2 linked regions of the Diceros bicornis minor genome follow. The protein of the gene in region 2 purifies or fractionates together with the protein of the main gene of each other region. This does not show direct contact. Links are inferred from orthologs where the notes say so. Each region holds a gene or a part of one and is shown on either strand. Other genes may lie near its edges.

Region 1 (8,053 bases), on a different chromosome or scaffold from region 2:
CAATTTTAGGAATGAAAAAGGAGACAGAGCAGAGATTAAAAAAACAAAGAGCTTTCAAGAAACCTCCAGAAAAATTATTAAATAAAATTGACTCAAGGAAAACCTGAATAGTTTTATACCATTAACAACAAATTGAGTCCTTAGTTAAAATGTTTCCATACAGAAAACAACAGACTCAGGCAGTTTTATAGGTGAGTTCTATAAAATTTTAAAGAAATAGATCATTTCTGTCTAATATTAGTAAGTCTGTTAATGAATTAAACATATAAATAGATTAAAGAGATTTTTAAAACAATATTCTCAGTAGATGCAGAAAAATAATTTTGATACCTATTCAGATTAAAATTTATAACAAGTTAGAAATAGAAAGAGTAAATATTGTGCTCGATGGTGAAGTGTTAGAAGCATGCCTTTTCTGATCAGAAATGAGGCAGGGATGTCCAGAATCACTGTTTCTACTCCTCACTGTTCAGCAGGTCTTAGCTGGTTCAGTATAACAAGAAATAAGAGACACAAGGATTAGAAAGGAGAAACCAAGCTGTCTTTGTTCGGAGATGATAGATAGGGTTATACCTAGAAAACACCAAAAAACTGACAGACAAATTAAGAACTAATAAGCTAGTTAACCGAGTTCTGGAATCAATAAAGAAAAATTGATTGCTTTTCAAACTCTCCGGGAGTTTGGAGAGTAATGGTAAAAAATGGAAAAAATTTCCATTTACCATAGGGTCAAAAAAATATCGCACTAACAATAAAGTGAGAGAAAGTTCTGCAAGAGATGTCTCATGTCCCAGCAGAATGTGGAAACTGAGGCAAAGAGATGGAGCCCAGGCTGGCCGTGCAGAGCTGCTCAATTGTCGAACGTATGTGAACGTCAAGTCCAATGGCCTGTGAGGATGTCAGTTCAGGGTATTCCCTGTGGAATTCAGAGATGTAGGCCTCAGGCAACTGGGAAGGACCAGAACCAACAGGAACATCGGACAGAGCTGAGCTTGGGAGGCTGCTTGTTCTGGGCATTAAGGACCCACAGCTACTCCCCATGGTAATATAATCCCCGACGTCCTGATGCCCCTGGTTGCTTTATTCATCCATTGCCCCTTATCTAAGCTGCCCTCAGTGGCCTCCCCAATCCCCGTGAAAGGCCAGTGGTGCCGCTAACTAGGAGCATTCCCAGTTAGAGCAGCAGCAGGAGGCCTCTGCCCAGGTGAGTCTCTGCTCCCTTCCCTTAGCTCTAGCTAGATTGGAGGTCTGCTAACCTTTTCTGTAAAAAATAAGAAAGTAAATATTTCACACTTTGCAAGCTATGTGGTCTGTGTCGTAACCAGCAACTCCGTCATTATAGCACGAAAGCAGTCAAAGACAATGTGTAAACAATGAGTGTTGCTGTGTTTGAGTAAAACTTTATGGACACAGGGCTGGCCCCCTGGCTTAGCGGTTAAGTCCGCGCGCTCAGGCTCAGCTACTGGCGGCCCAGGTTCGGAGCCCGGGGGCGCACTGACGCACCGCTTGTCCGGCCATGCTGAGGCCGTGTCCCACATACAGCAACTAGAAGGATGTGCAACTATGACATACAACTATCTACTGGGGCTTCGGGGGGAAAAAAAGGAGGAGGATTGGCAATAGATGTTAGCTCAGAGCCGGTCTTCCTCAGCAAAAAGAGGAGGATTAGCATGGATGTTAGCTCAGGGCTGACCTTCCTCACAAAAAAAATAAATAAATAAAACTGTTTGAAAAAAAAAAAACTTTACGTACACAAATTCAAATTTCACATACTTTTCACATGCCAAAATATTATCCTTCTTTTGATTTTTTTCAACCATTAAAAAAATGTAAAAACCATTCTTACCCATAGGCCACACAAAAACAAAGACAGGCCTACCAGCTACAGGCAAGTTCGTCCATCCTTGCTTCATCTGGCCGCCCTCCAGCAGCAGAAGGTTGGGCTGGGTCTCTGAGGCCTGATCAGGAATGAAGGGTATCTTGAGAACATCAAGGGTTGCAAGTGCTGCTGGGAATAGGCTTCTGGAGATCCAGGGGGTTTTAAGCTGTCTTTGATAGCCTTCAGGGGCTTCCCTCACCCTAAGTTAAGGTCAGAACTTCTAAGGGCATTTGTGGCCCTCTGTGACCTGACCCCTGCCTGCAGGGCCACTTTCAGCTCCCCCTGCCTCCCTCAGGGGTTCCTGGGCTATGGTCCTTCTGTCAGGACTGTGCCTTTCCATGCTTTTCCCTCTCCTGGGAGTGGACCTGTGCCATTGCCTAGCTAGCCACAGCCCTAAGCCTGCCCCCTTCCCCAGGCTGAGCTGGGAGTCTCGGATGCTTCTCCCACATTGCTATGATTCACATCCCGCCTGCTGCAGCCTCCAGTGGCCTAACAGCTCTCTGTCCTGTTTGTGCATCTCTGCATCCCCAGGTGAGGCTCACAGCGGGGGCTTAGTGAGTGTCAGTGAATGGGAGAAGTCGTCCTGGAAGGCTTCCAGGAGAGAAAGTGGAATTTCTGTGCTGGGGCAAGATTTGAGACTTTCCCATTAAGAAACCCCTGAGGGCCAGGGCTGGCCCAGTTACATAGCCGTTAAGTTCCGCTTGGGTGGCCTAGGGTTCCTCAGTTCAGATCCTGGGCGCCGACCTAAGCACCGCTTGTCAAGCCATGCTGAGGCAGCGTCCCACCTAGAGCAACTAGAAAGATGTGCAACTATGACATGCAACTGTCTACTGGGGCTTTGGGGAGAAAAAGGGAACAAAGGAGGCAGATTGGCAACAGATGTAAGCTCAGGGCCAATCTTCCCCCCACATCCCCAAAAAAAGACTCTAAAGAAAAAACAAACCCCTGAGGAGTCTCTGGTCCCAGCACTGATCCACAGGAGTGATTCCTGCTCTGCTAAGGACTTGGGTCCTAGGAGGGGAGACAGCATCCCCACTCCATTTCTGGAGCAGGGAGCAAGGGAGTTAGTGGAGCAAAGGCTCTGAGTTGATGGACCCTGGGGTAGTCACTGGAGCCTTCCTTTCCCAGTTCACAGAACGTGCAGACTCACTTTCACCTCTTCACAGGACTGTGGGATGTTGTGAATGCTCTTTGAGCAGGGAGCAGATTTTTAATTGGCTAGGCCCCTTCTGCCCAGAGGGAAGAGAGAGGGTGTGTTGAGAGATGATGCTTCTGGTTTGAGATTTCCTTTGGGAACAGAACATCCTGAGACCTTCCTGGCAGCAGCACCCATGCACTTTCCCACACTCACTGACCCCTCCGAGCCTCAGGTTTCTCAAAGATCACAACGAAGGGGAGTAAAAGGGTAAGGAGAGATGAAATTGAGGTGATGGTGATGAAGTCTGGAGTGTGGGGCAAGAAAGAGGAAAGCAAGGGCCCTTTGTTCTTTGCAATTCAGCACAGGAAGGAAGAAAATATGAAGGAAGGGAGGCTGAACACCAGGGCCGTGACGGTGACGACGCCTGCGGGTGGGGGCGGGAATCCCTCCGCAGCATTCCAGGGGCAGGCAGAGTGGGCCAGGAGGGAGTTGATGGACATCTACAAGGTCAGAGCAGGGAGCGGCCCTTCTCTCGTGGTGGGGCTGTAGATCGGGTATGGTTCCGCACGATGAGGCCTTGGAAAGGCAAGGACAGCTTGCCAGCTGGGGGACACGCAAAAAGGGCAGAGCCAGGAGAGGCATGGAGTCCCGCAGCTCGGTGGGCAGGCGCACGGCCTGGGGGCCCCAGTGCCACAGCTGAAGGGGAACAACTTGGTTCTGGCCGCCCTCTGGCCAGCGTCTTCCTGCGGTCTCCAAGAGCCTCTGCCACCCTGCAGGGATCCCTGGAGACCCTGCCCTCCCCAAGTCTAGGCAGCTGCAGGAGGGAAGAAGGCGAAAAAAACGAAACAATTCTGAGAAACAGCTAGATGTGCTTGTGTAGGGAAGACGCAAGTCTCTGCGTTCCACACGAGTGGGCGGCTGCAGAGGCTGGGGAGGGTCCCTCCGGTAGCGGCCCCGTTCCCGGTCTCGGCTTGCTGAAGGCGGCGCCCGCAGAGCCGCCCCAACAGCCAGTGTGCTGTGTGATTGACGGGGAGAGGAGGGGTCGAGCAACCATTCCCTCTACGCTCCATCCCCGCCACGAGCCCGTCCCGGGTAGCTAAGCCTGGTGGGTGGGGAAGAGGGTCCCGCCTTCCGACTGGACCTAACAGTAAAAGGAATTGGGGTACCCTTTACCTCCCCGGGAACCATGGCAGAACGGTCGCGGGGCGGAGCCGCAGCACACGCCGCAGCGGGCGGGGCGGAGCCTCGAGGGAACGGGCGGGGAGGAGGCGGGGCCTCCGAGGCGGGCCTGGAAACTGCTGGAAGTAATCGCAGTACCGCCGTCGTCGCTCCTTCCGCCGCGCGCGGGCAAAGAGTCCCCCGCCAGCCTAGGCCGGCGCCCCTCCCCCAGCCAGAGCCACACCTCGTAGCGAAACGCCGGTCTTTTCCCCTGTCCCCGAGAGGGCCGGGACCCCGGGGCTGCCCATAGCTGGGCCTCGATTTCCGCACCGTCCCCGGAGAAAACCCCTCCCCCTTATCGGGATGTAGGAATGCGTAGGGCAGATTCTAGGAGAGAGGTCGAGCCTGGGAACGGAGGTCGGAGTGGTTGGCCGCCTCCACCCCTGTTGTTAGGTGTCCCTCGAAGGCGGGACTCTTGGGTGTCCTTGCCCCACAGATCTTTAGGGAGGTCAGTGGGACGCTGGCCCCTAGATCCACCGCTTATGTCACATGAGCATTCTCAATCTCTAGCTCAGGTGGGGTCATGCCTTGGAAGCGCTGAGACGCGTACGCTCTACATGCACACCAAGGACAGCTGCTCTCGCCTTTCACCGCCCCCACCGCTACTTTGGACCATGACGTCAAGGTAGGCGGGCGGCGGCAGGTGCGGGGCTGACAGGCATCCTCCTTTAGAGCGGAGGGATCCGGGGGCGGGCAGCTGGGCTGTGCTTCGCCTTATATAGAGCGACTAGGGGCGCACAACCGCTCTCTTGAGTCACCCCCTCGCAGGCCCGTTGTGGCGTGTGAGCCGGCCACAGTCTGCCCACCTTGCTCCTGTAGTCTTTGCCATCCTTCCCCGTTAAGGTAAGGCCGCGGTTTTCTCCTTCCGGCGTTTCTGTCTTGAGCCCTCTTTCGAGTTGCTTTCGTCCCCCCGTCCTTTCCAAAGGCCTAATTTTCTTCACTGGGGCGGCCTTTAGGATACCACTCCTCCTGATTTCTCTCGGAAGTGGGTGGGAGGGACCCCTCGAGGTTGGCATGTTTTTCTCCTATGCTTGGGTGGCAGGCCTTCTCTCAGGCGGCGACTATCTACGGGCGAGATGGGCCTCGGCGTGGGGCTGGGTAGTGGGCAGCTGCACGTGGTGGCCGCGCCGGCCCGGGACGCTGCCATGTTTGCTCCTCCACTTCCGGACGCGACTACGGGGCGCCGGAGGGTCCGCAAGGGTCGTGGGTGTGCGCGCTCGGCGTGACTCAGCTCGGCCTGGTGCTGGCCTGGTTTTGCCACCTCTTGTATGAGACGCGTTTTTCAAGTCTAGTCGGTTCCTTCATGTGAGGGTCCGCGACGAGGAACGCTTTCGATCTCTTGTGGCCCGTCGTGCTTTCTCCTTCCAGATCTTTCTTGCAGTCCTGGTGGAGGAGGAGGGGAGGGGGCAGGCTCTGGGAGATTAATGGGCTCTTTGCTCCCCCGCCCCTCTCCGAGAGCTGAGATTGTTCTGGAAGCTTCTGGAGCCCGGCGCCCCGCCCTGGTGCTCGGATGCTGGGGCGAAGGGAGGCTGCGCGGCGGCGCCCCCTCCTCGTGTGTCCCCGGCCGACGCATGTCCGGCAGTGACGAGGGTCGGCCTGGTGGACCACGGCCACCATCTTAGTTGTGTTTGGTTTGGCACTCTACTTTGGTCACATGTGTTGAGGTGTCGCGATGGAGCTTTTGCTTTATCGGTTCTTTGTCTTAATAGCACCCTGGGCGGGTATCCCACTCATCTTAGGGGTTATCCTCCTCTAGTGTGTGAGGCTGCAATGTCACTTTCCCTCGACGTAGGAGATAATCTAGTGGGAGAGCAGTTTCAAATCATTGCCGTTTTAAAAGTAGTCACGTTGGGTTTTTTTTGCCATGTCAAAAAAGGTAATACAATTGTAGTTAGTGATTTCCACATTGAAAGGTGCGTGTGGATTATCTGGGACTCTCTCTCGTTCAAGATAATCTGCATTAGGTGTAGTCTTACAGTTCTAACAAAGCTCCTAGGTGATGCTGAGGCTTCTGGTCCATGGACCACTTAGAGTAGTTTGGATCCAAGATACTTTCCAAAAGACCTGACCTCATATTTTGTTGAACATGTTGGTTTTTCTGTTCTCCCAATTGGTTTCCCGCTGAGGGTGCAGCCTGAAATCTTTTGAAGGAAAGGGTCTTCAGTCTCTTGAGAATGGATACCAGGCAGCTCAAAGCAGTTTGAACTAAATCTCTTCATCTTCATTGTGACTGGGGTGAACTTGAGGAGTCTTAAATTTGAGATCATGGTGTTCTTTAGTAATCCTTGACCATTCTTATTTTAGATGCCTGAGGAAGTGCACCATGGAGAGGAGGAGGTGGAGACTTTCGCCTTTCAGGCGGAAATTGCGCAGCTCATGTCTCTCATCATCAATACCTTCTATTCAAACAAGGAAATTTTCCTTCGGGAGTTGATCAGTAATGCGTCTGATGTGAGTGCTCAGAGCGTTGTCTTGGGTGTTGTTTTTTTTAGCACTCCAGAAAAGGGAAGAGGGGGTGGTTTGGTATTTTGTAGGGCCTGCTATTGAAGGGGATAAATCTGCTGCAGTTACAAAAGGGTTTGCCTTGTTCCACTTCGATAGAGAAGATATTGTAACTGTAACTGGTTCTTAAATGTCAAGGGATAATCAGAATTGAGGCTATTTGGGAGTAAAAATGGAAAAAGTTTTCTTTTGGATGAAGGGAAGGGCTTTAGGAAAGCAGAATTGTAAGTTGCAATTTATGTTTTCAGGCCTTGGACAAGATTCGCTATGAGAGCCTGACAGACCCTTCCAAGTTGGACAGTGGTAAAGAGTTGAAAATTGACATCATCCCCAACCCCCAGGAACGCACCCTGACACTGGTGGACACAGGCATTGGTATGACCAAAGCTGATCTCATAAATAATTTGGGAACCATTGCCAAGTCTGGTACTAAAGCATTTATGGAGGCTCTTCAGGTATGTGATATTTTAGCTAGGCAGGCACAATTCCTCATTATCAGTGTTCTTTAGCTTGCTATTTCTTCAAAATTTGTGTTTAACTTTTTAACTTTGGCAGGCTGGTGCAGACATTTCCATGATTGGACAATTTGGTGTTGGTTTTTATTCTGCTTACCTGGTGGCAGAGAAAGTGGTTGTGATCACAAAGCACAATGATGATGAGCAGTATGCCTGGGAGTCTTCTGCTGGGGGTTCCTTTACTGTGCGTGCTGACCATGGTAAGTAGGCTATCCTGTTGAGATATCTGGGTTAGAGTTCTGGGGAAGCCTATAATAGAGATTTTGAGCATCTTATCTATAAAGCAGTTATCTTTTGGTATAGTTCTGGGTTTAGTTTCATCTTTACTTCACTGTGATTGACTTTCTAGGTGAGCCCATTGGCCGGGGTACCAAAGTGATCCTCCACCTTAAAGAAGACCAGACAGAGTACTTAGAGGAGAGGCGGGTCAAAGAAGTGGTGAAGAAGCACTCACAGTTCATAGGTTATCCCATCACCCTTTATGTGAGTATGGGCTGGTAACTCTCACATGGATGATGTCTGCTGCTCTGGAAAATTGCATGGTCCTGATTTTTGTGTTTCTCCTAGTATTCTGTATTCTGAAACTATTGTCTTTGGTACATTCAGTTGGAGAAAGAACGAGAGAAAGAAATCAGTGATGACGAGGCAGAGGAAGAAAAAGGTGAGAAAGAAGAGGAAGATAAAGATGAGGAGGAGAAGCCCAAGATCGAAGATGTGGGCTCAGATGAGGAGGATGATAGTAGTAAGGATAAGAAAAAGAAAACAAAGAAGATTAAGGAGAAATATATTGATCAGGAAGAA
Region 2 (8,002 bases):
ACAGCCCAGCATGGACCTGTGCCTTGGCTTGTACACAAGGGACTGTGTCCCACAGCTCTGAGAGGCTGCCTGGCTGTTATCACTACAGGCACCAGATGTGCAACCCTCCACCTCCAGCTGGACCTGAAACACTTCAACTCTCTACTCCAGCTGCTGATGGCTTTGGAGCTCCCGCAACAGGACTGGGGATGCTGTCATGGAATGCCAGAAAGTGGGCAGGCATGAGGAGACAGGTTGTCAGCTGGGTCCCCTAGGTCACCTCAGGCCTGGTAGAGAGCAGTGACTCTAGGAGGGTCAGCTGTGGCTGAGACCCCCAGGTCACTAAAGGTTTCAGTATCTAGGCCATCACAGGGTGGCGCTGTCCACACCCTCACATGGGGTAGGGATGCTGGGTACCTCCCCTAGAAGCCTCAGCTTGCATAGTCCCCTTGCTCTCCCTGGGGACTGCAGCTTTCACCAGGGGCCACTGAGCTTCTAAGGAAACTCTTCTGTCCACTGAGCTAAAACAAGCCACCTCCCTCCAACTCTCTCTGGGGGAGGGTCTCCACAGGGACCACGGCCCTTCCTTTGCCTCCATCCAGTGCCCCTAGCCACACCAGGCATGCACTGCACACCTCCAAGGGGCGCCATTCACAGAGGACACTGTTCACAGCAGCCCTGTTGGGGACTTGATCCCCCTTGGTCTCCTTTGGATGCCCCAGACCCTGACAAGCCTCCTTCCTGAGAGCATGACACCAGGTGCAGTTCAGCCTGGTAAGGGGACCTTGCTAGCTCAGGGGACCTCCCAGGGGTTGCGGACAAGCCAGGCAGATCAAGGAGAGAGGACGGAGCCTCACTTTCTGCTTCAGAGCCAGCAGCTCATGCCGGGCCCTGCCAAGTCCTGCTCGCCCTCCTGCCTCTGCAGCACTTGCACTTGCTCCGACCGGGCCTCCAGTGCCGCCTGCAGGTGGCCAGCCAGCTCGGCCGATGCCACCTGCTCTTTGCCAGCCACACCCACAGGTCCTTCTCTGACCGCCTCCAGTCCCGCCGGGGGGGCCCTGTCTGAGCATCTCCCAGAAGAGAGGAGCAGTGCATGCCTCAGCCAGGCCCCGGGGCTGCTGGGCCCACCTTTCCCACACTCACCTGCGCCTTTCAGGGGGGCTCAGTGGGCAGGCACAGTCCAGTGGCCAGAAGTGACGGTGGGGACAGCAGGCGGAGCTGGGCATCTGGTGGGCTCTGCCTTAGGAGGTCCTGAGAGCAGGGCAGATGGTAGCCCCTGGAGCTGGCGCAGGCCTGCCCTCCCAGAGCACCAGCCGCTGAGGCCCCTACTCAGAGGTGGCAACTGAGCCCTGAAGCTGCGCGTGCACTTAAACTCTTCAACCCAACTCCTTGGCCCAGGATTTTCCCAGGTGATTCAGATTTCAAATCAACACCCCAGCCTCAGCTCTGCTAAACAGTTCTCAGTTTGAGCAGTTTCCAGGAGCTGGGTGCTGACTATGGCCTGGCCACTTGAACAACCAAGCTCACTTATTCTCTCGGGTTTGAGGAGGTGGGAGGGAAGCTCAGCAGGGGCAGTAGGTTGCCCCAGGTCATGCAGGGAGTCCACTGTGAACTGGGCCCACGCCCCCCCACCCCTGCTGCTCTCCTTCCCAGTGTGGGAGTCTGGAAATGGCAAGGGTCAGGGAAACATTTGGAGGACACCGTAGTTGAGCTCTGATGTGGGGGTCAGAATCCCTCACATCAAGTCATTGCTCTGGTACCTCTCTGGCTTCCATAACTGCAGCTTTCAGATGGGGGCCCCGACTGCCAAGCCCCACCAGCTTGGTAAGGGAACTCATGGGGTAGATAGGGGCTGCTCAGCTGGTGTTGCCCCCCACTCTACTCCTCCTTACCCCCACCCACTTCACCTCCAGGATTTAGGTGTCAGAATCCCGCCATTTCACCCTACCCACAGCCCTGGGCACCAGGCACCTGCCCCAGCAATGTGTGGGCTTAGGAAGAGGGCACCCCTGAGGAGAGGATGTACTGGGCTGAGCTCCCCCCACTTGACTTGCCCACTGCTCACATTCCCAGACCGGCTCCCTGCTCCTCGCTCAGGATGGCACCACCACCTACCAGGCCCTCCCCCCTCTAGACACCTTGACTGTCCTCTCCCCGGACTCTGGGCCCAGATTCCTGCAGCCCCCTCCTGAGCTGTCTCCCCACATTTCACCATCACACAGGGCCTCTCCAAAATGGACCATGAAGACTGGCCCCGCCCCAACCTGCCATGCCCTGGCGCAGCACACACAACTCCTGGCTGGCTGCTCTGTCTTCCCACTTAGAAGTGGGGCCTCTCCACGGTTGTCCCAGCCGTCACTGAGAACCCGAGCTCTGCTGGCTTGGTTTTGGAGGGGCCCATGGTCTGCTGGAGTGGGGAGTGGCACAGGGCAGACTGCCAAGCTTGTGCAGCCAGCACAGAGGAAAACACAGCCACCGAGTGCCGTGCAAGCACAGGAAAGGGGAGCCTGACTCTCCCGTGGGGTCCCCAGGAAGACTTCCCAGAGAGGTGACCCTGGGGCTTAGGCTGCAAGGTGAATTAACTGCCCCAGTGAAGGCACAGATGGATGTAGCAGAAAGGAGAGAGCAAGGGCAGCAGGACAAGGAGGGACCAGATGAGCTGGCGCCTGGAGGGGGCAGCGGGCTGAGCCAGGAGGGCAAAAGGGAGATTGAGAGGGGCAAGTGGCTGGTGGCAGGGCCCAGGGCAGGGGCATGTCCCTGGTGCCCTTGAATCATGCTGCAGTCCTCAGCCCACACAGAAAAGACTTGGTGGGCACAAGTGTTGAGGCCTGGGAAACAGCTTGGGCCTGAGGGGCAGAGGATTTCAGAGCAAGCCTCCTCCGGAGGTGGCCCACCCCGAGCTCCCCAGGCTCGAGTTGCCAAGGTGTCAGCCATCAGCACTGGAGGAATGAGGTGGGAGAAGGGGCCTGGGGGTGCTGGTAGTTACCCATACTTCACCTCAGAGTAGATCTTGGTGCCTATCTGATATTCTGTCTCTCTTTCTTCTAGGAATGAGTTCTTTTAGGAATAGAGACAAAAGAATGAAGGTCTAATGGTAAAATCTCAGGCGGGACAGCTGCTGGACTGCAGATTTTGGAGAGGAGTTGGGAGATGGCTCCTATGCCACTTCAGAAAAAGAGAGAACTGCTTCGTTACTGGGAGGCAAAGACGCCTGGGTTCTCGATGGTGGGAGGGCTGGTGGGAAGATGGGCCCCTCAGAGCCTGGCCCCCAGGGCAGGGCAGGGCAGGAGACAGGAGCCTCTCTGAGCTCCTCTGCCCTCAGCTGCCGACGTGGTCCTGGCTTCCAGGGGCCATGGAAACCGCGGGAAACACGAAGCGGTGGGAGGAGGAGACACCAGAGTCCTCCCACATCGTCTGACTGGGTGACACCCTGAGATGAACCCCTGCTAGAGTGGCCGCGGCCACAGACCAAGCATCGGGGCCGGGCAAGAATGGCAACTGGGAACCTCCGGCCCCTGAGGCGGGATCCCGAGGGCCGGGCTCTCGGTCACGCACCGCGCACTTGAAGAGGCTCCGGAATTGCTACGTTGGGGCGGGTGCATTTGGTTGGAAGGGGACCAGGAGCCGGCCTTGAGGCCGCGTTAGCGTAGCAAGCATCCTGTTTTTACTTAGCTTCGGTTGTTGACTTCGGTTGTGGCTAACGGAGATTTGAGGGGTACTAGGCACCCTCTCAAGCCACGCCTTCAGACCCCAGTTTAGAGGGAAGCCAGAGGCTAAGGACTCAAAAGACCGCCGCAACTCCGTGAGAGCCTCGGCGCGGGCCGCGCCCGCCGGGCGGGGAGACACCGCCTCGCGTCAGGGGCGTGCCCAGCCCTCATGGGGCGGGGCCGCAGGGGCGGCCCGTGCCCGCGGCGCTGGGGAAGCCCCGGCCACTCTCGCGGAGTCGCCCCGGGGGACGGGGCCTGTAGCGATGCCCCGCCCTCCTGCTCCGGCCCCTGCGTGGCGTGGGGGCAATTAGGGGCCGCTCCCGCCGGCTTCGCTGAGGGGACGCCAGCCCCGCCCGGCGGGGCGTGCACGCCCCGAACCGTGAGGTCTCGCGAAGGATTCGGCCTGTTTCCTCATCCGGAAAACGGGGGCCTCGTTATCCCGCCCTGACCGGCGCGGGACAGTCGGTGGGAGGGGTTTTGGTGATCCCACGCTCGCGACCTCGGCTGAAGGGGTCGTCGAGTGACTCGGCGCAGAAATGGCCGAAGGCCTGACGGCGGCAGGGCGCGGGGTTTATTAGCTGAGAACCATTGCTGGCCCGCTGACTGCGGTGCTCAAGGAAAGGGGCCCCCCCTGTAGCCCAGACCCCATCCTCCGAGGCCCCGCCGACGGGGCTCTCGGGCATCTTCCCAGACACTGCTCTGCATGCACCTGGAAGCTTGGGCGTGCCGCCATGGCTTTAAAACCCCCCCACACAAGGAGAATAAGGTCTCATTTGCTTCTTTCACGTAACCGGGTGATGACCGCCTTCCCGAGCCTCAGGCACAGAGCTCCATCCTCTTTAGCGCCCTCCTGGGCCCCGGCACCGGGCGAGCGTTCAAGGTCCACCCGGTTCTCACTGAGCCGACAGCGAAACAATGCCCTGCCCGCGCGCAGGAAGGGTTGGCGGGCACGGGCGGGGTCGGGGCGGCAGAGCGGGCCAGCCCCCGGCCAGGTCGGGGCTCCACCTTCCGGCTCCTAGCGCCCGCCGGCGGGGGACGGCGCCTCTGTCGCGTCTTTGGGGCCTACGTGCGTCGCGACACGGCGCGGGGCGGGCCGCGGCCTGGGACGTCCCCTCGGCTCTCCCGGAACCAGTCTCCACGACTGCCGCACCGACCGGGGCGGAGAAGGCGGGTCCTCCAGAGCCTTCGAGGCGGGGGCTAGAGCGGCCAGGCCACCGAGGCGGGTCGAGCCGGGGCTGGCGACGGCTGCGTCATGCGAAGGGCGGGGCCGCCACGGGCGGAGGCCGGAGCCGGAAGCGGAAGAGGCGCTCGGAGCTGGGAGTGGGGCCTAGCTGCAGCCGGAGCCTGGGAGACGGTGAGTGTGGGCCCGGGCCCGCGAGGGCGGCGGCGGCGGCGGCGGGGTCTGAGTCGTCGGGGCGGGCTCGCTGGGTGCGGTACCCCGGGCTCCTGGTTCGGTCTTGGCCTCCTCTCGTTCCTTCTCGTCGGCTCAGTTCAGGCCGCGGCCCCGACCTCTCACCCCTGACCCGCCACTTCTCCCCCGGAGGGCGGTCACCACAGACCCCGACCTCTCGATCCCGCGGTGTCGGAGTCCGAGTCTGAGGGGCCTCTGAGGTCCCTGCAGGGATCCAGTTTCGGCCCTGCACCTGCCCGAGGAAATGGGGTCGGGGTCCTACGCGGGATAGCCTGGAGGGGCCTTCAGACCCCACCCCCCCAACTCCCCTCGAGGCTTGTTCCGCAGACGACTCCTTCCTGCGCGTCCTGGCGTTTGATTCTGCTCCAGGCTGGCCTTCCTCCTGCCCCCCAGATCTCCCCTTGCTGCCATTGGCGGCGGTTACGGGCCACCGGGCTCTGGGACCTGAGGTGACAGGAAGGGACGCCAGCGAGGGCCGCGGGCTCCCTGCGTGTTTTGTTGTGATGGTGGAGCCGTTCCAGCCCGGGGGAGGGGCCTGGCCAAGCTGACGGTACAAATGCCCCGGCTGCTCTTCGGCCCGAGCGGCCCGGGAGTCTCTGTGCTTTAGTTCCGGGTGTGGGTGCCCTGGTGTGGAGCTGGGTTGGGGATTGCCTGAGCCAGGCCCCCGTCGAGGCGGAGTTGGCGGCCTTCCAGCTTCCCTTCTCCATGCCCTTGAAAAGGAGGAGCGTTTCACCCGGTGGTGGCAGCTTGCAAGGTGGCAGGTTTGAGGTTGCAGTGGTGGGGCAGCGTCAGCCAAAAATAACCATGGGGCGCTGGGGTGGTAGGGATCCGGGAGGGCAGCCGCTGACCTGGCTGGCTGCTCTTCTTGTCAGCCCAGTTCTCTGGCCAGGAACGGCAGATGAGAAGCCAGCTCGGCCTGTGCTCAGAGAAAAGCTGGCATCTTCCGCCTGGTTTCCTTCATATTACCTTTCTCTTCATTGTGCAGAGCAGAGCTCTCTGGAGCATAATTGTGGCCCTTAGCATTTTGAAATAACCCGTTTGCTGTGGTCTCAGAGAATCAGAGATAATTGATGAGAAATGGGCCCTAGGGGCCGGCCCCATGGCGCAAGCAGTTAAGTGCGCGCTCTCCGCTGCGGCGGCCCGGGGTTCGCCGGTTCGGATCCCGGGTGCGCACCCACACACCGCTTGTCAAGCCACGCTATGGCGGCGTCCTATATAAAGTGGAGGAAGATAGGCACGGATGTTAGCCCAGGGCCAGTCTTCCTCAGCGAAAAAAGAGGAGGATTGGCAGATGTTAGCACAGGGCTGATCTCCTCACAAAAAAAAAAAAAAAGAAAAAACAAATGGGCCCTAGAGCCCTGGCTGGGAAGATAATGAGGGGCATGTAGTATTTCCAGTGTTTCACTTGCCTAGAATGTGTTAAAGGAGAGGTTATTTTCTTTGATTGCCTTGTGTGTGGTACTTCATAGCTCTCATACTTGTCATCTCCTTTGCCAAGTTGGCTGGGAGGTGGTGGTGTCTCCATTTTCCAGGTATAGTAACCAAGGCCTAGAGTGACTTGTATAAGGTCAGGAGGCCAGTAAGTGGCAGCACTGGGATTTAGTTTAGGGTTTTCTACTTAGAGCCTGCACCTTCACCCCCCCAACCTTGGAAAGGACTTTGGAATCTTTTTAATGTTGTTAACGAAAAGCTGCCTTCAGTACTTCTTGTGGGCCCAGACCTGTGCTAGGCATTTGACCTGAAGGCATGTGCTAGGCATGTACTTAAAGGAGTAACATAATTTAATCTTCACAGAACCCTGTAAGAAATTACTATTCCCTTGTTGCAAGAGGAAGCTGAAGGTCAGAGTAGTCTAATAACTTGCCTAAAGGCACACAGCGAGAAGTGGCAGTGCCAGGATTCAGATTGACATCTATCTAACTCTGAAGACGTCTTCTCTCCACTAATATCACCATGTGTGGACATAAGATCTTCTAGGTCCCAGGAGGGAGTCTTAGGCCTAGGACTAGACCATGTCCTCCAGCTCTGTCTGTGCAGTCAGGATAGGCAGGGCGTCTGCCCTGGCTACTGGAGCATCTTCCATGTCACTTAGTGAGTGAGATGTGAGATAGCACCTTCATTCCATAGCTTGGGCACCTGACCAGGGTCATTGCAGAAAAACAGTGAAACATTAGTCAGCTGAGCATCAAAACAGAAGAGCAGTCTAAGCTCTTGAGGAGTTGCCAGTGATTTTACATAGTATTTGTCTCGAAGGATCACGAGGGCCTGGACTTCCAAGTAGACAGGGGAAGACACGTGCTAATGGGGAAATTGAGGGCAGTGACTTTCTCAGGATCAAGGAGAAGCTCCCAGGGGTTTGGTCAGATATGCCTTGCTGTCATGCTGTTCCAAGGGGAGACGTTGTGCTCTCCTCCTGACAAACCCTTCTCATGAGATGGGGCAGCCTCACTGGGTTTGTCCAAAATGTGCTTGGTCAAGCAAGCCCAGGACTGACTACCACTGGAGGTTGGCAGAGAGGCTGGCCACGATCTCTGGCCCAGCCTTCCCCTGGAGGCAATGTCAGGGTTTTGGCTGTGGGTGGAACAGGGAGCTGGCCTCACATAGCCATCTTTCTCAGCTGGTAGCCGATCCAACCTGGCAATTTCCTGTGGTGGGTGTAAGTCCCTGCTGAACAGGGATAGTGAGGTGGGGCCCTTTTGGCCTGCCTCCCGAGCACAGAAGCCTGCCAGACAGCCAACCCTTTGGCTACTCCTGAGATGGGTGCAGGAGAGGCTACTGGAACAGGGGAGCTAGAAGAAGGGACAGTAGAGGTACTGTCGGATAGAGGTGAGGTGCTGCCTGGCATGGCGCTGCAGTGGTCTGAGAGCGCTAAATGGGCATTGGGCAAGACACTTGGATGCTCTGA

The links.
Region 1: the proteins of CLK3 (region 2) and HSP90AB1 purify together in Homo sapiens (affinity purification with mass spectrometry; 3 studies listed by BioGRID and IntAct, with this or other methods). This does not show direct contact. The link is inferred for Diceros bicornis minor from reciprocal best matches to the Homo sapiens genes CLK3 and HSP90AB1.

What each region holds. Positions count from the first base shown.
Region 1 is NC_080753.1:21,617,721-21,625,773, reverse strand, and holds the start of HSP90AB1 (heat shock protein HSP 90-beta), read left to right. Parts: upstream 1-4,982; 5' UTR 4,983-5,078; intron 5,079-6,539; coding exon 6,540-6,686; intron 6,687-6,985; coding exon 6,986-7,192; intron 7,193-7,292; coding exon 7,293-7,452; intron 7,453-7,601; coding exon 7,602-7,735; intron 7,736-7,858; coding exon 7,859-8,053. UniProt on the Homo sapiens protein: Molecular chaperone that promotes the maturation, structural maintenance and proper regulation of specific target proteins involved for instance in cell cycle control and signal transduction. Undergoes a functional cycle linked to its ATPase activity.
Region 2 is NC_080744.1:67,562,783-67,570,784, forward strand, and holds the start of CLK3 (dual specificity protein kinase CLK3), read left to right. Parts: upstream 1-4,938; coding exon 4,939-5,040; intron 5,041-8,002. UniProt on the Homo sapiens protein: Dual specificity kinase acting on both serine/threonine and tyrosine-containing substrates. Phosphorylates serine- and arginine-rich (SR) proteins of the spliceosomal complex.